Linked DNA regions of Drosophila melanogaster. The protein of the gene in region 1 interacts with the protein of each later gene in a biochemical or structural test. Each region holds a gene or a part of one and is shown on either strand. Other genes may lie near its edges. The genes, in order: Ubi-p5E, LUBEL and CYLD.

Region 1 (7,791 bases):
GAAGATCCAGTTGCACTAATCTTAGTACTTTGGAGTGCGATTCCGCATTGATCCTCAACGATATTTAGGTTTAAGTCAAGTCCATAACTGATCCGCAGTTCACACCACATATATAAATATATATTATCTATGTATAATTGAAAATTGCGGAACGCCTGCCGTTGGAGTGGGTGCATCACCTGGCGGTGGGGGAGTAGGAGTAGAACGGCTGGGCAGGAGCTGAGACGCCGGTGGGCCGGGGAGCAATCAGGTTTGTGACGACGGAAGAATGAAAAATAAATTTCAATTTTTTCTGACCAGAAATATACCGCCAGCTCTTCTTACTAATGGGAATTCAAGATTGGTTTTATCCGCAGCTTTTATGAATAAAACGCCCGAGTTGTGTAATTTAAGCAATTTGTACAATTTATTTCGTGTCAAATGTGTGAGGAAATTGATGTTCCCAAATTGGGGGAATATATCTGGAATCTCGTAATGCAGTCCGGCCGCAGACTAGTTTCTGGCCACACCGCGTCGGATCACATAGACCAGCGAGATGCCGATGAAGGCGGCGCCCAGGGCCAGTGCCACATGACGGCAGCTGTTGCATGGAATAGAGAATATGAAAGGCGGTTTAAATCAATGGGAGTATCATGGTCAGGATAAGGCACTCCGACCGACTGGGTGTCACAACAACAAAACTGGGTGCACTTTGGTTAGCTAGCTAGGATTACACGGTTTTGCAGGCATTTCTAGAGGGGTTGATTTAACTTAGGATGCAGCATTGCTTGGGGGTGGCGGCGGCATCAGTAGGCGTGGCACTTTACCAAGGCACAGAACCAAGAATCAAAATAAAAACGCAAGTCAAGGTGGGGTGCCATTCACAAAACCAAAGAGTGACCAATTACAGCGTGCAAATTGTTGGTATTCTAGATTATCACATTTATATATGTACATAATTCCAGTTGCTTGACGTGTGCTTTGGGTTAATCATGATGGGTAATATATGTACACAGGTCAGTGGTTAGAACTTACAAGTCCAACTAGCTTTTGTAGAACCTTATTTTCGTGCTTGAGAAGGAATTAAATCTTGAATGGAGCAAATATCATACATGCAAGTTGAGATTCATTAGATTCATTAAATATTAAGTATTGTGGCTTTGTTAGCGGTTGGTAAAGAAAAAGTTGATACTCTATATGGGAATATAAATAATTGATATAATTTAAGGAACACTTCTGTATCATCATTATCTTCTTCAGGGTATCCAATCGTATCAAAGGGTATCAAAGTAGTACACCAAAAAGTGTACGAAATAGAGACTTTCAGGACACGTGAAGCGTGAAACTTTGGGGGCTTCGAGGCAATTAATGGATTACATAAGAGTTGGCTAATTGTACTTATTGATTGAAACGCAGGCCATGCTCATGCGAAACCGGTTGTGGTCGGAATAGGAGCTTCATGCATTAAGGAAAGTGGAGCGTACGAAATGATGATGATGAAATGCCTTATCAGGAATACTGGTGTTCTAGCGAGATAAGGAGATCAATCCGTGTGGGAGCGGAGAAGGGAAATCCGCAGGGCTTTCTTTATTTACATGATGATATGGCATTTTGGCTTGGTTGGGTCTTTGCATGCACTTGCTGGACAGGATTCTCACCTAATTGGGCTTTTCTTCTTGATGTCCGCAGCAGCCAGGTCACCAATGTAGTATTTCTTCAACATCTCTCTGAAAAGGCAAGTGGGGAAGAAATGTGAATCAGGTGATCCAGGCGCACTGGCTATAAGATGGACTCTCTAACCTCGCCTCCGAGCTGTGACCCACGTCATTGAAGGCCTTGGTGGCATCGCGACCGGCCTCATCCACCAGGGATTCCTCGCCACCGGGATGCTGGAGATAAGGGCATCGAATTAGATGGATTCGCCACCCCCCCCTAAAACCAACAATCTGCATCGCCACTTGCCTCGAGACGGAACTTGGTCACATCGTAGACCTTGTTGTCGATGACCACCCACAGATCCGTGGCTTTGTTGTGTTCGTTGACGGTGGCCAAACGGATTTCCTTGCTCATCTTGCCTGACTGCGCCTGCCTGCTCTTCTCCGCAAATTTAACTAAATAACGCAAGCTAACAGGTTTTCGGACTATTCCAGTGTGGCCGGCTCCACTTTTCGTTGGAGTCAGCTGGTCACACAAAATACCCCAAATATACCACATAAGGTACCTAAGCAATAATTCCAATGTACCTGTGGTACAATTCCAGTAAAATACAATAGAGTATTACAAATTTAAATATTCAAATTAAATCCACCACTCCAACGCCATCCAATGTTTATTGCAACTTTCTATCAAGAATCCCCCACAAAATTAAAAACCCTGGGAAACACAGATAAAAACTACATAGAGTATTACATTGAACACACAAATTGAAAATTTTATTCTTCGAATACCAATAATTATTGTGATTGATTATTTTGTGCCTTTGAATAAACCAATTTACTAAAACTTAGTATGAATTCTTGAGTTATGCCCTGTGGCACAACTAACTAACTTCAATTTTTATAAGGGTGAAAAAATCTAGATGGCGCCACCACGCAGACGCAGGACCAAGTGAAGGGTCGACTCCTTCTGGATGTTGTAGTCGGACAGAGTGCGTCCGTCCTCGAGCTGCTTTCCGGCGAAAATCAAACGCTGCTGATCTGGGGGGATTCCCTCCTTGTCCTGGATCTTGGCCTTAACGTTCTCAATGGTATCGGATGGCTCGACCTCCAAGGTGATGGTCTTGCCAGTGAGGGTCTTAACGAAGATCTGCATGCCACCACGCAGACGCAAGACCAAGTGAAGGGTCGACTCCTTCTGGATGTTGTAGTCGGACAGAGTGCGTCCGTCCTCCAGCTGCTTTCCGGCGAAAATCAAACGCTGCTGATCTGGGGGGATTCCCTCCTTGTCCTGGATCTTGGCCTTAACGTTCTCAATGGTATCGGATGGCTCGACCTCCAAAGTGATGGTCTTGCCAGTGAGGGTCTTAACGAAGATCTGCATGCCACCACGCAGACGCAGGACCAAGTGAAGAGTCGACTCCTTCTGGATGTTGTAGTCGGACAGAGTACGTCCGTCCTCCAGCTGCTTTCCGGCGAAAATCAAACGCTGCTGATCTGGGGGGATTCCCTCCTTGTCCTGGATCTTGGCCTTAACGTTCTCAATGGTATCGGATGGCTCGACCTCCAAGGTGATGGTCTTGCCAGTGAGGGTCTTAACGAAGATCTGCATGCCACCACGCAGACGCAAGACCAAGTGAAGGGTCGACTCCTTCTGGATGTTGTAGTCGGACAAAGTGCGTCCGTCCTCCAGCTGCTTTCCGGCGAAAATCAAACGCTGCTGATCTGGGGGGATTCCCTCCTTGTCCTGGATCTTGGCCTTAACGTTCTCAATGGTATCGGATGGCTCGACCTCCAAGGTGATGGTCTTGCCAGTGAGGGTCTTAACGAAGATCTGCATGCCACCACGCAGACGCAAGACCAAGTGAAGGGTCGACTCCTTCTGGATGTTGTAGTCGGACAGAGTGCGTCCGTCCTCCAGCTGCTTTCCGGCGAAAATCAAACGCTGCTGATCTGGGGGGATTCCCTCCTTGTCCTGGATCTTGGCCTTAACGTTCTCAATGGTATCGGATGGCTCGACCTCCAAGGTGATGGTCTTGCCAGTGAGGGTCTTAACAAAGATCTGCATGCCACCACGCAGACGCAGGACCAAGTGAAGGGTCGACTCCTTCTGGATGTTGTAGTCGGACAGAGTGCGTCCGTCCTCCAGCTGCTTTCCGGCGAAGATCAAACGCTGCTGATCTGGGGGGATTCCCTCCTTGTCCTGGATCTTTGCCTTAACGTTCTCAATGGTATCGGATGGCTCGACCTCCAAAGTGATGGTCTTGCCAGTGAGGGTCTTCACAAAGATCTGCATGCCACCACGCAGACGCAGGACCAAGTGAAGGGTCGACTCCTTCTGGATGTTGTAGTCGGACAGAGTGCGTCCGTCCTCCAGCTGCTTTCCGGCGAAGATCAAACGCTGCTGATCTGGGGGGATTCCCTCCTTGTCCTGGATCTTGGCCTTAACGTTCTCAATGGTATCGGATGGCTCAACCTCCAAAGTGATGGTCTTGCCAGTGAGGGTCTTAACGAAAATTTGCATATTGCCTGAGTGGAGAAATGAAAAAGGGAAAAAGTTGGCTTGAGTAATGGAAAGTGGAAGGAAATTGATTTTCTGCGTAGTGACCCAATTCCCGTGACCCAGAAAAGTATTTTAGCATACACATACAGAAAACATTATTGGTTTTTTCGTTAATGTTTTCACAGCTTGCATTATTTCGCCATGAAATGGCAAATTTAGTTTTGGTGACTAATCTCTAACTTCGTTAAAAAAAATCCCCTGGAACTGGGCATACACACACACACACACACACACACACACACACACACACATAGATAGAAGCATGGAAAGCACCGTTTTCTGCTTGCTGCATCGCCATTTTGAATGCAACTAAGAAAAACTATTAAGCAATTGCCAAACTGAACTCACCTTATTTTCTTGTTTCGCACACAAAAGTTAATTTATTTCTTTACTGTTGGTCTGCACTTTTTGAAATATTCAAAAACTTGCTTTTATTTTACTTGCTCGGACGTCCGCTCTCTACGACTTTTTCACAGTTTATGATTCGTTTCGCAGCCCCACGCTGGTATTTATAGGCAGCTGACTGGAAAGTCGTCGCCTGCTCTCTCGCTCACTCTCGGGCGGTAGGTTACTTTGTTTTCGCTCTCTGCCACTTAAAGTGACCGTTTCTTTTGTCTAGTCTATTGGAAATGAGATTTCGCATTGACAAGAGTATTTAACACATGAAGGCCAATCAATTGGCTAGCTGCAATACGCAAAATTGGGCATTGAAAACAAAATGCGTAGTGCATATGTGCACTGCTTTTATCTCGCTCGCTCTCGTGAGCGAGAGAGCGGAGTTATCGATAAGTTGCCTGACCCTCTTTCCAACACTAATCTCAGCTGTTGAAGTGTATGCGTTTGTGTGTGTATTCTAACAGAGGGAGGTGTATAAATTTGTATATACATACATATGTATGCATGTAGACGCACAGACATCTTCTTGTGACGTTCTTTGTTTGGCGAGTTAATCGACCTTTTTTTGTTTTGACGCCGCCTGGGAGATTTGTCTTCGCTTTGGTCATCAGCCTTTAGACAAGAGAGCCCAACAATTTAAAATTTCCCACCAACCCACTCGCACATAAGCCAGTATGCGTACAATGCTATTTCCATATGTACATATGCATTACAATTGCATCTGGAAAGTTCCAGGAATGGAAGGGTCTGATGAAATCTGATGTATGCTGATTTCAGCAGCTTAACCCTTGATGTAACCCCTTAAAATAGTAAACGTTATTAACTCTTTAAGTACAAACTAAAGATATAGGATAATATATACAATTATTCAAATAATTGTCATGAATTTCTCATACTAACAATCCAGTGTACATGTATTCCCCATGATATGACAAAAAAAAAAAAACAAAATAAAGTTTTTCCTTCCAAAAAAGTGAAGTTTTTTTTGGAATTGGTAGCTTCTTACTATAAAATAGTTCCAAGTTACACGAGATTTCATTAAGTTTGCTTTATATTAAGAAATAAATTAATGTATTTATGGATCCAAATATAAGAAATGTTTTACAATTATGGAATTCCACGCAGCTGGAGATGCCCAGCGTGTTCAGCGAGTGCGGGCAGTTGGCGTTCGTGCAGGTGTTGCAGCCCCCCAAGTGGGGCATGTCGCTGAACGGCGGATGGTTGTAACAGTACGGGCAGAACGGATACGAACGCCCCTTCACGCCAGTGGAGAAAGCCAGCAGATCATCCAGCGGGCACTTGAACTCGCGATACACCTTCACATTCCAATGGGCAGGGCGTATGTCTCATCGCAATGAGAGCAGTGCAATCTTGCCGGTAGAGCAGTGCAATGCCCGACTCGGCCAGCGGCGAGAAGGATACCTGAAACAGTGCGTCCATGCTGTCGATGTTCTTCACAAAGTACATAAACTTCAGCTTGAAGATCTTGATGGCGTGTCGCAAAACATCCTGAAAGTTAGCCGATCCCTGGGCAATCAACGTCAGCATGCGCTCCACCTCCGTTCGCATGGTGAACGTGGTGATCTGGGGGGATTCCCTCCTTGTCTAGGATCTTGGCCTTGACGTTCCCAATGGTATCGGATGGTCCAACCTCCAAAGTGATGGTCTTGCCGGTCAGAGTCTTAAAGAAAATTTGCATATTGGCTGCGAGTGGAGAAATGGAAAAGGAAAAAAGTTGGCTGAGTAATGGAAAGTGGAAGGAAATTGATTTTCTGCGTAGTGACCCAATTCCCGCGACCCAGAAGAGTATTTTAGCATACACATACAGAAAACAAACATTATTGGTTTTTTCGTTAATTTACAGTAAATTTAGGTTTGGTGACTAATCTCTAACTTAGTCAAAAAAAAATAATAATAAAATCCCCTGGAACTGGGCATACACACACACACACACACACACGACAAGTGTGTTCATGCTCAAATTCGAATTTGGATTAATTAATTTGAATTAAAATTAAAATTTGAATTAAGAATTTAAACATGTTTTGATTCTTTCGGAGCGGAACAACCTCTTAGAAAGGGAAAAGGCTTAAAGGTCGCGGACAGACAACTAATCATCCTCTCGCCGTTCTGATGCCTAAGCAAAGGCTCTGGTGTCCGATTAGAGGCGGCATAAACCTCCACCGGTAAAACGCCAGGGAGAAATCCGTGGCCCACAATGGATCCCTTTCTAACGTTGGTGACCAACAAGCCGTAGTCCGCCCATTAGATCAGATGGACAGAACAGGGGAGGCAGTGCCCGATCCCAACGACCCGTTCAGGAGGAGCTACAGCCTATCGAGATCCCCTACAAGAGGAGTCCGAACTCCAATTCACGGAGCGAGGGGTGAGCAAGCAGCCGAAAACTAGCGACTGCAGTGCAGCTGTAGATGTGGAGACTTTGGCCCCTACAGCTTCTATGACTGCCACAAGCCAGAAGACGATGGACTTCATTAGCGTGCCTCCTCAAGGGCGGGAACAAAGTCCCCATCACGATCTCCGCATCGCTCGTCGGATCTGACCATGACCTGCTCACCGATAAAATACTTTGACTGGCAGTGCCGGTGAGCTTGACAAGGACAGGAGAGAGATCAGAGATTTTTGTTTAGTACGTAGGCATAATTCTCTAGCTGAGAGTTATGAATCGTGCATGCCATCTACGGACGGTGGACGGTATCTTTGAATTTCATTTTCCTGCCGTATATAAAAAAAACACACAGATGCATGGAATGCACCCTTTTTCGCTTACTGCACTTGTTGCTTCGGCATTTTAAAAGCAACTAAAAAAAACTATGAAACACTTGCCAAACTAACCGGAATTTTTTTCCTGTTTCGCACAGAAAAGCTAATTTATTTCTTTACATTTGGTCTGCACTTTTTGAAATATTCAAAAACTTGCTTTCTTCACTTGCTCGGACGTCCGCTCTCTACGACTTTTTCACAGCTTACGATTCGTTTTACAGCAGCGCGCTGGTATTTATAGGTATAGGTATAAGTTGACTGGAAATTCGCCGCCTGCTCTCTCCCTCACGGTGGGTTAATTTGTTTTCGCTCTCTACCACTTAAAGTGACTGTGAAGGGTCGACTCCTTCTGGATGTTGTAGTCGGACAGAGTACGTCCGTCCTCCAGCTGCTTTCCGGCGAAAATCAAACGCTGAT
Region 2 (7,625 bases), on another chromosome or scaffold:
CGTGCGATTCAGCTCCACCAGCGCCTGCTCCACATTACCTTGGTGCGCAGTCAGCGCGTTGACAATGTCATCGCGCAGGAAGTTTCCCTTGGCCGCCAGTTTCCTGTACTTCTGCTGCCTCTGTTGGATGCAGTCAGCCACCGCCTGCCACACATTTCCCCCCGAGTTGCGCAATGCCTCGCGTGCTTCGTTTTGGGACACAGTTCCGATCGTGTTTTCACCCCTCTCCTGTCCGTACTTGGTTGACAAACTCTGCACCGTCTGCACCAGCTTGTGCCAGTTCTCGCGCAGCCACTGAATCGGATGAGTCTCCGGGGAGCAGTACTTAAGGGCAGCTTCCAGTTCCTCAACCGTAAACTTGTACAGCTCCAGTTCTTTCAGTATGATGTGCATTTCCGTTTCCGGATCTCTGGCCGGCTCATGCTTGACTCCGAATGTCTCATGCGGCATATCGAAAGGTGAAGATACTTGCTGTAACACATGGATCCGTTGGATTATGTCAACTATCAAGTATTGCCATAGATACTTACAAGCTGCAGCATGCGTAGCTCGTTTATGAAATTGGGTCTTTTGGTGACCAGACCGGCACTATATGGATCCAATCCAAAGCCGTCGTGATACCTCAGGTCATTGGCACTCCGATAACGTTCACTCTCCTGTTGCAGCTGGGAATTGCTGCGATAGTGCGGACGTCGCTCCATCTTGTTTGGTTCTGGAGTCGTGAAGCGGTCAGGAACAACGGGGATGATCTCTTCTTGCTTTGTATTGAAGGGCAGAGCGTCGTAGGTCTGTGTGGAAATGCTTTGTGGAGGCGGGGAGGTTCCCATCTCCACAGCTGCTATTTCCCGGGGAGGAGTCCCACCACAGGCCGTGGAGACCTTCTGAGCCTTCTTGAGTACCTGCTCCGCCTGCGCCTGTATGCTCTCATCCAGAGTATTCCAAATGTTTTCAACGGACTCTGGAACGATACGGATGAGAGCATTAGCTTTTGGGGGAACGGGATCGGGGTCACCAACGGATTGAAATCAAACAAACGGAATGCGGCTTGGGTTATGGTTCTCTTTTGTATTTCGTTTCCATAAATGCGTTAATTGTAGGCTTACAGTTGATGGCTCTATTAGTGTACTAACTAGGTATAGTCTTTGGTGGTTGGGCTTAGGTCTTTGTGCCTTCGAAAAATGAGATTCTCTTTTGTATCCTACCTTTGTGCAGAAGACTCTTGGCCAGCGAGTTATCGGATTCATTTTCCGACGAAGTTTTCAGTGTGGATTTCGATGGTGTCTTGATAGGAATACTGGAGGTGGTCTTGGAGTTTACAGCTGGCGACGCTTTTGAGCTAGACGTGGAGTTGGTGTGAGTAGTCTTCGAAAGAGCAGCAACGGATTTCTGACTGGGTTGTTGGCTCTTTGTAGTAGGCTTTTGCACTGGCTTAGTTTCCGTCTTGGAAGACGCCTTGATATTGTTAGACTTTTCAGCTGGAGGCTGTGGTTTTTCCTCTACCTTTTTGGCCTTGTTGGGCTGCACTGGAGGTTTGCTGGGCGTCTTGCAGCATATGGAGCAGATCTTGATGTTGGGCTCGTTCACAAACGTGCAGAACTCGCATTCCCATTCGTGGTCTGGGGTAGAAGGTGGTGGGCCGAGATCATCAGCCCCAATCTCGTCAGGAACTTCCTGGGGATCGGGTGCTGTTTGAGCCTCAGCCTCACTCTCTGAGGCGGTTACCTCTTCGACCACTTCCTCGTATTCCGAGGCACTCTCTTCATGGGCTGGTGGCACCACCACCTTTTGCACCACCGCTGCCGCCTGTGTATTCTCGTCCTTCATCTCCGGCTTGCGTTTTGGCTCAGCCTTCTTCGAGGATTTGTGCTGATCGGCTTCTTGGAGCTTCTGCTGAATTTTAGCTTGAACCAAGGCCCGAGCACCCGATCCCTCAGACTCCAGATCGGAGTAAATGCGACTGGTTCTGGCCGAGTCCGTTGCTGTTTTGTTTCTGGTAAGGGTTCCCTCATTTTCCCGTCGCTCCGGTAGCCACTCACTCTGCACGGACTTGGCAATGGATCCCCGACGATTCCGCATCTTGTGATGCACCTGATCGCCGTCCAATTCATCGCTGGCTATGAGTTGGGAGGCACTGGACAGGCGCCTTTGGCGGGGCTGGATATGGTTTTGGTGATGCTGGGAGCGCGAGGCACTAGTCATGCCCGAGCGATTGGACACCAAAGATCTGCGGTCATCCTGGTCGGAGTCCTCGTCATCCGTAAGTTCGTCATCCACGTAGCTATTGCGCTTGCGACGCAAGGACATCGATTTGCGGCTGGGTGTTGGTGATGCAGCGTACCGGGAACGGGATGCAGCTCTGGAGGCAGCTGAAGGTGGCATTCCCATGACACCTGCGCATTTAAAGTGCAATATGTAAATTAAAATATAACTAATAGTGCCTCATTTTACCTGGATGCATCATGGGATAGCCTGGTGCTCCTGGATACACATTGGGCATCATACCACGCTGGGTCATAAACACTGGTGGCGGATAGTGTGGATGATGTTGCTGCGACATGTAACCCGGTCCAACGTTCAGGGACAGATTGGAGTTGTTGAATTGCTGTTGGGAGCCGAACTGTGACCACTGATCGGGATGCTGGTGCTGAGGAAGTGCTTGGTGCGGATGCTGTGCCCAGCCAGGATGCTGCTGACTCTGTTGACATCCAGCGCAGTTTAGCTGCGCCAGGGATTGGGCCTGCAAGCGGGATGGTATCTTAGTTTCTAAGGGAGCATGAAACTCTAACTCACCTGCTGGATGCGCTGATTGGCGAGCCAGGCACCTCCGTTTTGGGCCTCGGACAGTGGTCGACGTGGATTCGAGTTGAGATTGAACACCGATGTGCTCATCTGTCGCCGCTGGGCGCCGGCCGCCTGTCGTTGTTGGAGCAGCAAGGAATTGTGAAATTGTGAGTCATCCGAGAGATCGAAATGGGATGAGTTCAGGCCGGATGACATGCTGCCGGAACGAAAATGCGAGGGCGATGGTGAAATGTTTGACCAGTGCTCGAAGCCGGCTTCATTCGACAAATGCTGCGCTTGGGAAATGACCAACGAGAAACGGAAAAAGAAAGAGAGAGAGAGAGAGGAAAGGGAGAAACGACACATGACGAAACGAGACGAGACGATACGATACGAAGTGCAAGGATCAAATACTATCAAGGATCAATGATTAATAAATTAACATTTCATTTACAATTATAACTGATCCTTGACACAATTTTCGCCGAGCAAAGACAATACGATACACTCAGTGATGAGGGGACTCGTACGATTGTGATTCGGGGTCAACGGGTCACTCACCTGTTCGCTGTTGGCGCTCAGATCCTGGCGAGCCTTCTGTTGGCGGTACCGCTGCTGCAGAATGGCCATGCGGTCCAGCGTGGCGCTGGCCTTGCTCTTGATCTTCTCCAGCTGCACCGACGGCGGTCGCTGGATGGTGTCGAACACGGACTTGGGGGTGCCCGATCTGGAAGATCCCCCGCCCTCGCTGCGCGGTGGATCGGGCAGTGGTCGGTTGTTCATCTGGTTGGCAGAGCTGGTGGCAATTGGTGGCACTGGGGGCGTGGCCCCGCCACCGAGCGATCCCCGCCAGCCGCCCAGCGACTTGTGCGAGGGCGTGGGCGAGGGCGGCGGCAGCATCTGGAAAAGAGTCGGGTTGGGTGCCATTTCGTATGGGTATTCGGGTAACAATTGAAAAAGTATGTCTGGATCGCTGTTTCTACAATTTTGGTCGGGCGTTCTGGTTGTAAGGACTCTTTTATTGAAGCATTCAAATTGAAGTTTACAAACTTGGTACTACGTGTAGCCCATGAAGGAGCCTTTCTTACGGGTCTAGGAGATCGTGCAGTGGCGTACCTGATCCTTGCGGCCCAGAAACGGTGTCAAAAGGCCTCGTTTGCTGCGTCGTGGAGGTGCCACTGGTGGTGGTGCCCCACCACCGGCCTGTGCCTTTGGCGGAATCGGCGGTGTGCCCTGCTCCACAGCCTGCAAAACGAAGTTCTTAAGTTCAAATTCATAATGGATCGGGAGAACTTACCTTTCTCATGTGCTGCTTACGTTTGGGATGCTTGTGGAACATGTCGTCGCAGGAGGCGCAAAAGATTTGGCCGGCGCACTCGGCACAGGTTACCCAGGGATTCTGGGAACCGCACAAGGTGCACTTTAGTTTGTTATCTGCAAGTGATAATTATCTCTGGTAGTATTTTAAATAAGTGGAATATATAAAAAGGTTGCCCACCTGGTGTCTTGGTTCTGATCACTGTGGTCTTCATCGGTTCGTTGGAGTACTGCTGGCTGGAGAATTCGATGATCTCGTAGTCCGGCTCGGGAGTGCTCTTCGCCTTGGGCGGCAGAGCAGGCGCCTTGGGAAGACCACCAGCCACACCGTTTGGTGGCGTGGGTGGCGGTTTGGGCCCAATGCGGTCATTTGCCTCCATCTGAAATGGGTAATTAGTGCAATTGGATATTGACTGGCAAACTGGATATTGGCTTACCACCCAGGAGGGCATGGTGCGAACATTCTTGTTTAGCAACTGGTGGGTCGTCATCTTGGTCGATTTTTTCGTCTGGGTTTTGCCGTCACTTAATCGTCTTTTTGCGCTTGATTGGTTTTCTATTTCATCGAAATACGTAAGCAGCAAAATATTAATATTATTATAATTATTTATAGATCGCAAATACCCTGTGCCATATTTTCGCCCAACCGCAGCCACTTCAAACGACTTCAAATTCAATTAAGCAAAGTGCCAGAAAATGCGAATTATGAATGCATATTTTTAGCTGGCTCACCCAAATTCCGAAGCCAATGACCAAAATGCAGTTTCGTGGATGCCGTGCACAAAACTAAACGCTGCCACAGTTCGATCGCGAATAAAAACGCTAAATGTAGTCGAAAATATCTTTCGGTGCATAGAAAACAAAAATTGAAAAATGTATATATTTTGGCATAACATTTTCGGTCTTGTTTATTTATGAAATCATGCGAAAGAGGGAAGTGCTGTTTTGTGACTCAATCGACTCATTCTGTCAACGCGGCTAAGTGGCTGAGATGCCAAGAAAATTGCAAAAGAGATTAGACTAGGGAGAAGAATTCGAATTTGAAAATAGTTCTCAAAAGTTTCGAATAGAAGAGTATTTCATGTAAATGCTTGAAAATAAAAGCGAGCGAATAAAACTAACAGAGAGAGGGAAAATATTGACTAAAAGCTGAGCGAATATGCATTTGGTAATGACGCAGGTGGCCAAATCGTTGCCAAATAGTTTAAATTAAATAATGGCCTAAACAACATAATAATTCCATTAGTAAAGGTATTTCAAATGCTGACTTTAGTATATATTTTAAGTTTACTATAATTGCGTCCAAGGCATCAAACTTTTCAACTCAAAGGGCAACGCACCGGTAAAAGTTATATGTATATAACTAAATATTTCATATATAATTAACTTATTAGATATCTATGTTTCTTCATGTTTTATGAAATGTGTATCTATGATACCAAGGAATCATTTATCTCTTGCATATTCTTGTAAGTTAAGATTGAATGTTAATTAAACTTTTTAATATACATATCTGCACTTCAAAGTTTTCCTTACTACATTTTATATTCCTGATACTTTGAGACAATTTCCCGTTTATTGAATATGTTTTATATCTCAATAATATCTTTTAGAGCATATATTAATCCAGCAGCTCTGGCATATTTTCCACGCACTAGTTAAGTGCGTAACGAGCCATAAAATTTATCCATAAATTTCGGAGTCGCGACGCCTCAGCCAGCATAGCAAAAATCAAGCCACACTGTTCTCTCGCATTGCGTATACGCAACGTGTTCGCTGGGCCTGCACTCCCGTGTCTGTTGCGCTATTTTTGAAACCATCCGCAGCCACTCCATACATTTGCCCCGAAATTGTGTCACACTGTGCAGCAATATTTATGAAAGCCGCCTGCAGTGGTGGGAGGGGCATGGCCCGGTGCCACCTCAATCCCGCCCAGAAGATCGGCCTGCTCCGTGCGGCGACTTCGAGTGGCAAGTGGCCTGGCAAGAGGCAAACGCAACGCTGACTCACAGACACAGACTCACGCGGCGAGGGAAAAAGTTTTATTTTTATAGGAGAACGAACGGTGGGAACTATTTTTAAACATTTCTTTGGCTTGCCTATATTTGCGTTTTTTTTTTTAGTTCACAGTTTTTCATTATTTCAAATTGGCAAATTAGCTTAAAAAATTTGATTTAATTTTGTATACTTTATTTTACGCTTTGATTGTTTATCCCGGCCAATGCCTTGAACTTTCCCATGGAGAGCGTTCTCCGCGTTTAAAATTAGCTGAGTTTTATATTTAGAACACTTGAGATCGATTTAATTGCGGTGTGATTTTAAATTGGCTTTTGAACTTTCGTAATGGATTCGATCGACCATGAACGGTTGGATATCCGCGAAATCAGAGGTCACTTACATAATTCGATTTCACTTGACGCGTCTTGCCGCACTCAAAACTGCCACTGCCAGCTGGTAGCACATGAATATATATATATATATATATATATATATATATATATATATATATATAGGGATATATATATTTTCCTGATATCTAGCCACAGCGCGACATGAAAATTCAGCTACGGTCTCGTTCGACGATCGTCTCCCAGCGAACTGAAATCTCAATCAGATTCTAAACAGCACTTTTACTGCAGTCCGCGGTCCCCAGTCGTCGCCCGAGTAGGAGGAAGTCAACGCAGATCTATGTGCTCCTCTGGTCTCGTCTGGTACGGTTTCCCCCTGGTGATCCCCTCAATCCTCGATCAGTCGCATCTCTTTCCTATTTTCAGCATTTTCGCGTTGTTTTATAAATACATCGTTTTCGAGCGGCATAGAACATTTTGACTGCGAGACGCCGTCGCGTGTGTGAATATCATTAATTCTCGAATATATATCATTCTCAGCTATTTGTTGTTAAACATTTTACGTTGTTATACGGAACTGATTACTTGTTGCGTTTCTTTTTCATGAATGAAAATATGACAATTGTATCGAATTGATGTCCTGCGATCTGATCGACTATTGAACTTTATGGCGTACCTACATATATCATTACCAAAGTTCAAGTTCAATGGAATTTCAGATAACATAAATATTTCCGCATTAATTCTTATTATTTATCTAATATTTTATCCAAAAAACCGTGGCGCCTGGGGAAAGCGCTGAATCGTTCATCGGGATACACGCCAGCTATAATTATGATTTATGAAAAACAAGTATCTGAAGGGATCTCCCGCAGTTTAGCCTTGAACAAATTCTGCACATTTAATGCTAACAATAAAGAAGAACATCTATTAATTTTGGATCGAACAAATGGTATCAGCAATAAAAGCATCGCCATGGGCCACCTGCTGCCGGCCGGAGGTGCAAATCGAGTGGCAATTTCGATGGATGGACGATGGATGGGAATTATGGAATTAAAGCCTCCGTGGGTGGGTCCATTTTCGGTTTTCCTAGCTAGCTGGTCTAAAAATAAATACAATGCATAATAAATTGGCTGCGCGACAAAGTCAAAGTTCGACAATTGCCGGCACGCACATTTT
Region 3 (9,185 bases), on another chromosome or scaffold:
TACGCCCCAGTGCAGAAAAAGGGGGAGAAAATATCTTGTGTACCATAAAAATACAAATTCCGAGCAGAGATCTCAACGAAATGAAAAAGCCAAATAGAATAGTAGAACTATAACTATATATCAATGCAAAAAAACAAACAATACGCCCCTTATAGCGGGAACATTGTCTTTATCTATATCTTTGTACAACAAAAATCAGCAAGCCAATATGTTTTTTGAATGAAATATCAATTAGGTTATGGTATCTTAACTCATTTACCTACAGTAAAAACAAAAAAGATTTTTAATAATTTTTTTGTTTGAATGCATGAAAAGCGGCAAAAATATGTATGAATTGTTATTCCGCCGGATAAACTTAAATCCAAAATTCAAAGCGATCAATTTAAATATATGTAGTGATTGGTTTGTTATTGAAAGCATGACAAAGTAAATTACTCTCTTACTTGAATCTCTGATTTCAAACAGTGCTTCTTTTCGCTACAGATCTTTCGACTGACCGGCTTAAGTTCGGCTCGAAATCCGCCTTTTGGATCCAGATCTCCATCAAGAACATTAACTAAATAGTTTATGTACAATATGGCCAACTTCAATGTTTTAATCTGTCAAGTAAACCAAGCAAACGGACACAAACAAACTTCAAATTTATAAATAATTGAATAAGTTATTATAAAATATATTTTTCGCTGGCTATTTTATCTTAATTCTTAAACAAAGTAAAAGTAGAATATAGTTAAGATTGACTTAAGTAGGAAACATTAAAATCCAACCTTCATGTGCTTATTGGTGTATTTAAGTATTAAATTCAAGATTATCTATCCGTCGGTGAAGTTACCTTTGATAATTTAGTATCTGTAGGAACGTTGGGAATCTTTTCTCGCAGATAGGAAAACGCATTGTTTATACTTTGGGTTCGCCTTCTCTCCTTTTTGTTAGCTGTATTACGTTTCTTAACAATCCGAGTATTCGAAGTTGGCACATAACCTAGGTGACTTGTGTTATATATTTGTTGCTGAACTTGACTTTCGGAGTCTGAAATATTTGGAAAATATATACATTATTTTCCATACACACGAAAATATAAAATAAAAGTCGCTTTTGTACTGGAATTGGTACCACAAATCACTGTCCCAATTTTATTTAAATAACAGCGAAGTAAGAAGAATGATTTAAACATTTACGTTTCATGTCGAACATGTTGGAAGTATTATAAATTGAGTTATAATACATGGTTGAGTATTCGCACGTCAAGGCAACGGAATTCTTAAACATTTTCTAATTTAACGTAATTAAATTCAAATCAAATTCGCGGCTTAAGATCGACATTTTCGCAGATAGTGCGTCGCACGTAAAACTCGTCTTTGATGTCTGGCAAGTAACTGAAAAACTTTTTCACTTGTTTAGTGAATGTGCGCCGTCGAGTGAACAACATCTGGATATCCTCCCTCCAAATCCACCAATCGCAATCGCCGACGTTTTGCGTCGACCAATGGTGGGCACTTCAAGATTTATATGTATGTATGTACTCCCGTGTATACATACATCCATATATATCCGGAATATGAACTGCCTTTCATGGTCTAGTGATCCGTAGTTCTCTAGATGGTTCAGTCCTGTTTCTGGAGTCACCTTGAAAACTTCTCCTAACAAAAAGCACTTCCTAATTGTTACAAACTTTTTGTAAAAAAAATATAAGCTACTTGGTATATTAGTTATAGAAAACCACCTATCTTTATTTTTTCCTGTTATATATGTAAAGCCTACCCATATTAATATCATAAAACATATTTTTCAACAAACCAATAACCATTAATAGGCACAAAATCCATTTCACATGTGATTTTTACAAAAATTTTATTGCATTCATTTAATTTATTGATAAATTTGCTCTAATGGTACATCATTATATCTGTGCTTTGGTACAGACACATATAGGCATCGCAAAAAATACGCTTGGCGTGTTCAGGTAATACTTTATCGTTCGTTGAAGTTTCATTTATAGATCGTGCGCCTTCTTCCGAGAGCCACTGTGTTAATTCTGGAACACACGTAATTTCAGGTATATTGTATCCATTCTGTTCGCCTGAAATAACATTTGCGTAAGTATAAGAAACTTGTTAGGTTAAAACTAAGATTTTGCTTGCCTTTTCGATCAGCCATTGAATCGAAGAAACACCATGGAGCATCTGGTCCGGATCCAGACTTGACAAATGCCACGTAGTGAGATGTTTCTATGCAAACGACTGCAAATAACTCCATGTACAATCGCGGGACAACCATGTGCTCGGCCATGATTTTAAATTCCTTCGGACTATAAATCTTCTTCGACACATGATTCGTTCTGAAAGATAGGTTTTTAATTGGTTTTCATTCATTTATCTATGAAGATAGCTGACCTTTTGATGTGACTGTGAAATGTCTTGAGACATTTTGGACAAAAGGCGGTGCATTCCAGTCCTGATCCAGCCTGCAAGCTGCCAAAGCAATCCCGGCACTCGTATTCAGCTAGTTTGCCACAAAGTGAGCACTGTCGAGGAGCTGCAAGTTGAATTTTGTTAAGATTCGAAATGCAAATTGTTATATTGTTGAACACCTACAATTTTCAATTATGTCTGTGACATCAAGAACCTGCGATGGCAATATCCTTGGATACATCTTGTAGTTCTTTCCGAAACGAGGCATTTGAATGATGAAACAAGAAGGAACCTCCTTTAGTTTTATATCCGATGAGTGAAAGCTTTGCTCAAACAATTGTTGCACACTCGGTAATGTTAACTTCTCATCCTTCTCCACAAAGAGTTGGTAAAAATAAGAATCTTGCCCCGAGCTTAGCTACAAAAAAAAAAAAAAAAAAAAAACATGTAAATTATTTAGTATAAAAATCTATGCAATAATGAGTACAATAAGCACCTTTAGAAACGGTTCAACTCGCATTATTTGTGAGAGCAAACTATTTAGGAACTCTTCAGGATCCTTTTCCTCGCAGGTGAGACCGCTGACCGAACTTAGCTGATCTAGGAGCTCGCGCAGTTTCATCACACGATCGGATCGAACGAAAACGTTTTTTCGCAATGGATTGACGATCTCATCGCGCAGAACCTTTTGAACCTCACTGTAATTTCGAATATCCTGTTGAAAATAAAATAATTTGTTATTGGTGAGCTGGGCAGACAAATCGAATAACTTACTTGTGGGCCCGGACGTCTGTACAGAATTGAATCGAAAACACTGGTGAAAGTGAACATGGAAAATAGAGTTGCATCAAGGTAGCAGGAATTATGGTGTCCTTGTATTCCTTTGAACTTTCCACATATGCTAGCAAGCTCATCGGAATTGTGTATTTCTGGAAAACAAATAGCTGCATGAACTCCTTTCCTTTATTAAATGTTTATTGTTATCTTACGTAATGGTGGTATCGAGCCATATATGGCAGGACAGTCAGCGACGCCAAATTTCTTTGCGTGATTACTAGAAACTCTGTTTGCAGAAATGCTATTATCTACATCAGCAAATCGCCGGTCAGCGGTGCATCTGTTGGCTGGTACAAAAATAGCTCGACCATCATGGCAAGTAAATAAGCTAAAACAAAACACAACACAGAAGATATTTTTCAGTTAAGAGTTTTTCTTGTATGAGTACCTATTTATGTGTTTTAAATGTTTAAAAGTATGACATACCGTACGCCATTGTGTCTCCCATCCGATGCCACTACATTTTTCAAGTTGGATTCGTCTTCTACCTCGATTCCGACGAGTACGTTTTTTTGCGGGCCAGGCGGTATACCTATCCATCTCACAACGCCATATAGATCTTCACATACTCCAGGATTCGAGACTTCGACGAGGGAACCAATCGCTAGCTCGGTTCCAGGTATTTCAATCAGAGGTTGATAATCAGCGATTGTAAAACCTAGGACAAGAATAAAATTAAAATAAATTTTAATTTCTTAGAAAATCAAATTAAAAAAAGCGGAACGATTTCATAATAGATCATACCAAGTTCTTCGGGCAATAAATTTGGTGAATAAAATTCTAGCACTGTTAATGGAATATTATTGTGGATATCCGAGTCAGAAGACAATTTTTGTTGGTATATATTCATTTTTGAAAGACGCACAGCACAATTTTAATTTCTTTACTAATTTTTATGTTTTTTTTTTTTTCAGCAATTGAGAACTTTGATAAAGTGCAGAACAAATAAAACTCCTCGACAAACTGCATATATCAACTCAGAGAACTGCCGTTTTACGTGAACGTAAATAGAATATATGTATGTGTCGTTATGTATTTGGCCGGCGTTCTATAAATAAATAGACGTTTTCATTTCGTTGTCTTTTGCAAGGAAGCAAAGTGAATACAAGTCTTACAACAACTGTAAAGTATCGAGAATAAAAGATTCAATAACAGTGAACGCTATATTCGAAAGAAGCGACTATTACATACCTGTTTACTCAGCTAAAAGAAGTGCGATACACTTGAAAATAGACAACCAGCACAAGGAGTGATGTAGCAGGCAGAATTTGAATGTCTTTTGCAAGCAGTACAGAAGACTGCTTGAGTAATTCCACTAACTAGAACTAGCTTTTACAGTTCCTGAGATCTCGTTATTTATATGGACGGACAAACAGGATTAAGATTAAGAGAGCTAGTAAACCTGACCAAGAATGTAGCAGGTCGGAACAGATTCCTTCCTTAGTTCTTAATAATGATATATTTCTTTTCTTTTTGAAGAAATGACAGTAAAATAAACTTACGTAAAGGTTCCTCCGGCTCTATTTTTAATATGGGTGAGGCTGGTTTTAAAATTAAGTCTACAGAATTACTAGGATCCGTTTTACTTTTGTTGTTTAAGATCATTGCAGCTGGTCCCGCTCGTTTTGGCCAATTTGTGCCCAAAATGTCTGCCAAATCCACATCCTCAAGATGTTGATTATCGACGGCACTATGGTTGGCATCGGTGTTTCTAAAAATCGCTCATTATTAGCTTTAAATGAATTGAAACAGTTTTACTACGTACTTTAAAATTCCGTTTTTTCTGTTAGGAATCTTTTTCGGGTATACATGGGTCTTGTGCTCGCTCTCGTTGGATAGTTCATAGTTTTCCAGGGAGTCCCCGAATCTATTTGTTATGGTCAGCTTTTTTTCTTTTTCTGCTTCATAATCGGATTTGGAATTCATTATTTCCAACTAAAGGCTATAATAACATTTGTATTAGTAATTAAATAAAAAGGATATACAAAATGTATTGGTCATAAGTGTTTTTTTATGAAAAATTTTAAAGAGCATGCTATATATTTGGCAGAGAGTATTCTACAGTCGAGTTAAAACTGTTAAACGAAATAATCAATGATACTCGATGTGACGGATTCTGTTTGTAACTGCTTAGTTTGCAGTCGCTTACATACATATGTACATATGCACGTAAGTATGTAAGAGACATCAGGTTGCTGTAACAGTAGTTCAATAAACATTCCATTGTTTTTACGCTAATTTCAATCTTGCATTAAATATTTATTTGCCAAGGAGGACTGCACAGAACAAGTAACAGGAAATACATGCATAACAAACACAATTCGTTAGCAACTTTTCCCTAATTGATAAAAACAATGACACACAACAATCGCGACTACATTGGTTTAATAATATTGCTGTTCGCTGAAATACCAAATGACCAATTAAGTTTTTAGCGCAACCCTGTTTGAGTTTTAATACAAACACACATAAATTGAACTAACAAATAAAAAGGTGTTTATATCCTGGATTTTTGTTTAGTATTTATAAAATTTGTGTCTTTTAGAATGCGATTGGAATGAATTCTGGATATCGTTATCGATTTTACCGCAATCGACAATTGTTGGGGGTAATCTTGAACCAAAAAAATACAATACAGTCAAAAAAACAAAGTAATAACGGTTTAAAAACGGTTTTATTATATAGAATATGTAACAGTATATTGCGATTTGTTTGTCGTTGCTTGTTAGGCTTAGTATGTTTTATTGCTTATGAATTTTATCATAAACTTTTAACAACAACAAAATAAACAATTTTATATATTCTAATATGCATTATATTTTATATTAAGCAACTTATTTTTTAGCATTTTTTTTATTGTGGGGAAAAAGTCTTTTAAAAGTCTGTCAGGTATATAATAATTCTCTGAATAGGATTATTTACGCTAAACATTTGATTAGATTATCACTTTTGAGCACCTTCTGCTGAAGCGGATTGGATTGGCAGTTCCACATGTATAGGACTTTGAAAGGCCATTGGTTGGAGTTGTACAAACTGAAATGGTATGGAGAATGGCATACCGCGATAGGCATTAGCCGATTCCTGTGGACTTAGGTCTACGTTGGAGCTATTGACAAAGTCTGGAGCAGAGTTGGCGGTCTCCAAATCCTTTCCCGTGATATTGAAAGGAGTAGGGGGACCGACGAGTTTCAGGGAAACCCCATCCCGTCCAGGAGAAGTCGATTCAATGCTAGTTTTGGGTACGTATTCCTGGTTATACTGCGAATCAAAACTACTTTTTGTTACGTAATCGTGCTTAAATTGAGGATCAATACTACTTTTCGTCACGTAATCGTGCTTAAATTGAGGATCAATACTACTTTTCGTCACGTAATCGTGCTTAAATTGAGGATCAATACTACTTTTCGTCACGTACTCGTTTTTAAACTGCTGATCGAGATTAGTTTTCGTTGCGTAATCGTGCTTTAACTGTGTGGGCACGGAGCTTTGATAGTCCTCCATCCTCGGAGGATGATCCAATTCCCTAGATTTGTATATCCTGTTGTAGTAGTTTGAGGATGGTAGGCTGGATGGTTCGTGTTCTCTGGGCGGTGGATGATCCATTTCCATGTTAAATTTGAACTCCTCGCCGCGTGGATAACTTTCGTAGAGTGATGATGACTCGAACTTATATGGCTCGCTGGAACGAATGTAAACGGGAACCTTTCGTTCTACCTCAACCTTATAGGGCACTGGTACCTTCTTCTCGAGATGAACTGGCACCTTTATTTCGACCGGATACGGAACAGTCCGGAGCACTGGATACGGTTTCGGTACGTGGACTATTTTCTCAATTATCTTTTCGACCACATATGGTTTGGGCACTTGGACTGGCTTTGGGATGTGAATCACCTTTTCCACTATCTTTTCGATAGGCACGTGCACTATTTTCTCAACTGTAACATTCACCAGCTTGGGCACATGTACGATCTTCTCGACAATTTTCTCAATGGGCACATGGACGACCTTTTCCACGGGATACGGTTGTGGTACTGTTTTGATCAGCTCCTTTATGTGGTTGTGATGATGGTGGTGATGATGATGCTTGATTTTCACCTTCATCCGCTTCGCATCCTTCTTACTCGAGTGCTCGACATGTTCGTGCAGAATCGCTTGTGTTCCGACCTGTTCGGATGCCTGGTATTGACCATCGTCCTCATCGATATGCTCGTGGATCTCTTCGAATGTATGATAATGCCTACTTTCCGTACTCTCATCCGCATAATTGGGACTCACATTTTTTCTTCGAGCACCAGATGGCTTATATTTCAGTTTATTCCTCGTCATTTTATCGCCTTGCTTTTGATAGTTTTTCACACCGCGTTTCAAAGTCACATTGCGTTCGGTTTCCCGATTATAATGTTGCAGATCCAGCTTTTCCGATCTTCTTCCGGTATTGTGAGTAGATCCTTTTCCGTATTCAGGATAGCTCCACTCGGCACTTTCGACACTATTGGTTTTATTCACAGCATAGGAATTACTGTGTGCAGTACTTCCAATAATTATTAAGGTTATGAATAGGTATCCAGGAATCAAAGTTAACTGAAATAGAAAGGATGCGCGTAAATGAAGTATGTACATACAAAATATCTCCTATCAAAAAGACAAATTGGAAATATAGCTTACCATTGGGTTCATTTTTTGTTAAGTATATAGTCTCGCTTGGATTTGAAGTGGTTTAATCAACGCCTTCAACAGAAATGATTTGAGCCAATCGAAGAAAGTATTTATATGAGCACGAAACATAATTAAAATGTGCAGAAGCAAATTTCTTCGCTTGAAGTTTGTACACTCTATATTTTTCTTAAATTAAGAAATTATACAAAAACATCAAGAACTAATTTGTTTTGGTTTGATTATTTAAAATGTATGCATGTTTTTATTCATTTTTAATTAGATATACAAATGTGTAGCTTTGAAATGCCGTCAGAAATAAACGACCTTTTTAAAAGAGAATAAAACTGCACAAGTTTACTTATATTTTTTTTTACGATTGAAAGCCCACGGTCGCGTGACGCAAGTTGTGTGTGTGTTTGAAGAAGTGTACAAGTGCAATATCTTTATAAATGTTTGAAATTTCTCTAGGTGAATATTTCACAGAAGCCCGTAAATGTAATAATTAAAGTGCATTGAGCTCCGCTTTACGGAAATGCTATGGATTGTGTAATTTCCTGCAGTATCCGTTGCTGTTTTCAAGACTACCAAAACTACGTTTTCCGGATACCCATTTTGGAATGCAGAGAACAGGGTTAATTAACACATAACATTGGAGCTCCTCTCGAAAGGCAAATAAAAAGTTTATTATACAAATTTAAGTTGGATATATCGGGAGCTTGAATAAACAATGGTCAGCTTAATCTAATTCGATTCTATTCTCTAAGAATAGGCTGCTCGTGTGCATCTTTGATTCCTTAATTTTTAAGTGCGAGCCCAGCAAATCGTCCATGGTGATGCGGACGTTGTTGCGATCAAGCGCTGTAGCTGACGGATCTCTGGACGTGATGAGCTGCCTCATTCGGTAAACTGAAGCATTCCGGCACATTTCCCGCAGGTCTGAGCCCGAGAAGCCATTTGTGAGCTTGGACAAGCGATTCAAGTCGACATCCTGACTTACTTCCTCCGATTGGAGGATCAGCTTCAGGATGTCTTTTCGTTGGGTCTCCGAGGGCAGACCAATGTGGAATTGGGCTGGCATGCGGCGCACAATGGCCTTGTCTAAATCCTGCGGCCTGTTCGTGGCACCCATCACAATCACCGTCGAGTTGGCGTTCGTGCTGAGGCCATCCCACAGCATCATAAACTGGGTCTTCATCATGGCGGTAGCCTCGTGGTCGTTCATGTTTCGAGATCGCAAAAATGAGTCTATTTCGTCAATAAAAATAATGCATGGCTCGATTC

What was found.
Region 2: of the proteins of Ubi-p5E (region 1) and LUBEL, one has a biochemical effect on the other in vitro, tested with the Drosophila melanogaster proteins (one study listed by BioGRID).
Region 3: of the proteins of Ubi-p5E (region 1) and CYLD, one has a biochemical effect on the other in vitro, tested with the Drosophila melanogaster proteins (2 studies listed by BioGRID).

The regions. Positions count from the first base shown.
Region 1 is NC_004354.4:6,274,591-6,282,381, forward strand, and holds Ubi-p5E (Ubiquitin-5E), read right to left. Parts: upstream 5,058-7,791; 5' UTR 4,546-5,057; intron 4,164-4,545; 5' UTR 4,159-4,163; coding exon 2,554-4,158; 3' UTR 2,286-2,553; downstream 1-2,285. Other genes in the region: CG3566 (uncharacterized protein), read right to left, coding at 493-580, 1,638-1,706, 1,780-1,868, 1,942-2,049; CG11700 (uncharacterized protein), read right to left, coding at 7,688-7,791.
Region 2 is NT_033779.5:6,766,056-6,773,680, forward strand, and holds the start of LUBEL (linear ubiquitin E3 ligase), read right to left. Parts: upstream 4,914-7,625; 5' UTR 4,831-4,913; intron 4,655-4,830; 5' UTR 4,590-4,654; coding exon 4,536-4,589; intron 4,479-4,535; coding exon 4,280-4,478; intron 4,216-4,279; coding exon 4,079-4,215; intron 4,027-4,078; coding exon 3,898-4,026; coding exon of another isoform or gene 3,874-3,897; exon of another isoform or gene 3,782-3,873; intron 3,682-3,781; coding exon 3,343-3,681; intron 3,073-3,342; coding exon 2,791-3,072; intron 2,738-2,790; coding exon 2,449-2,737; intron 2,391-2,448; coding exon 1,203-2,390; coding exon of another isoform or gene 1,156-1,202; exon of another isoform or gene 1,041-1,155; intron 959-1,040; coding exon 531-958; intron 472-530; coding exon 1-471.
Region 3 is NT_033779.5:10,294,031-10,303,215, forward strand, and holds CYLD (cylindromatosis), read right to left. Parts: upstream 5,818-9,185; 5' UTR 5,717-5,817; intron 5,191-5,716; 5' UTR 5,175-5,190; coding exon 5,014-5,174; intron 4,960-5,013; coding exon 4,751-4,959; intron 4,384-4,750; exon of another isoform or gene 4,099-4,383; coding exon of another isoform or gene 3,993-4,098; exon of another isoform or gene 3,948-3,992; intron 3,907-3,947; coding exon 3,675-3,906; intron 3,577-3,674; coding exon 3,401-3,576; intron 3,341-3,400; coding exon 3,186-3,340; intron 3,127-3,185; coding exon 2,908-3,126; intron 2,830-2,907; coding exon 2,595-2,829; intron 2,536-2,594; coding exon 2,394-2,535; intron 2,339-2,393; coding exon 2,142-2,338; intron 2,081-2,141; coding exon 1,887-2,080; 3' UTR 1,829-1,886; downstream 1-1,828. Other genes in the region: hand, read right to left, coding at 444-599, 833-1,029, 1,179-1,269; CG13138 (uncharacterized protein), read right to left, coding at 6,192-7,829, 7,914-7,925; nmd (no mitochondrial derivative), read right to left, coding at 8,641-9,185.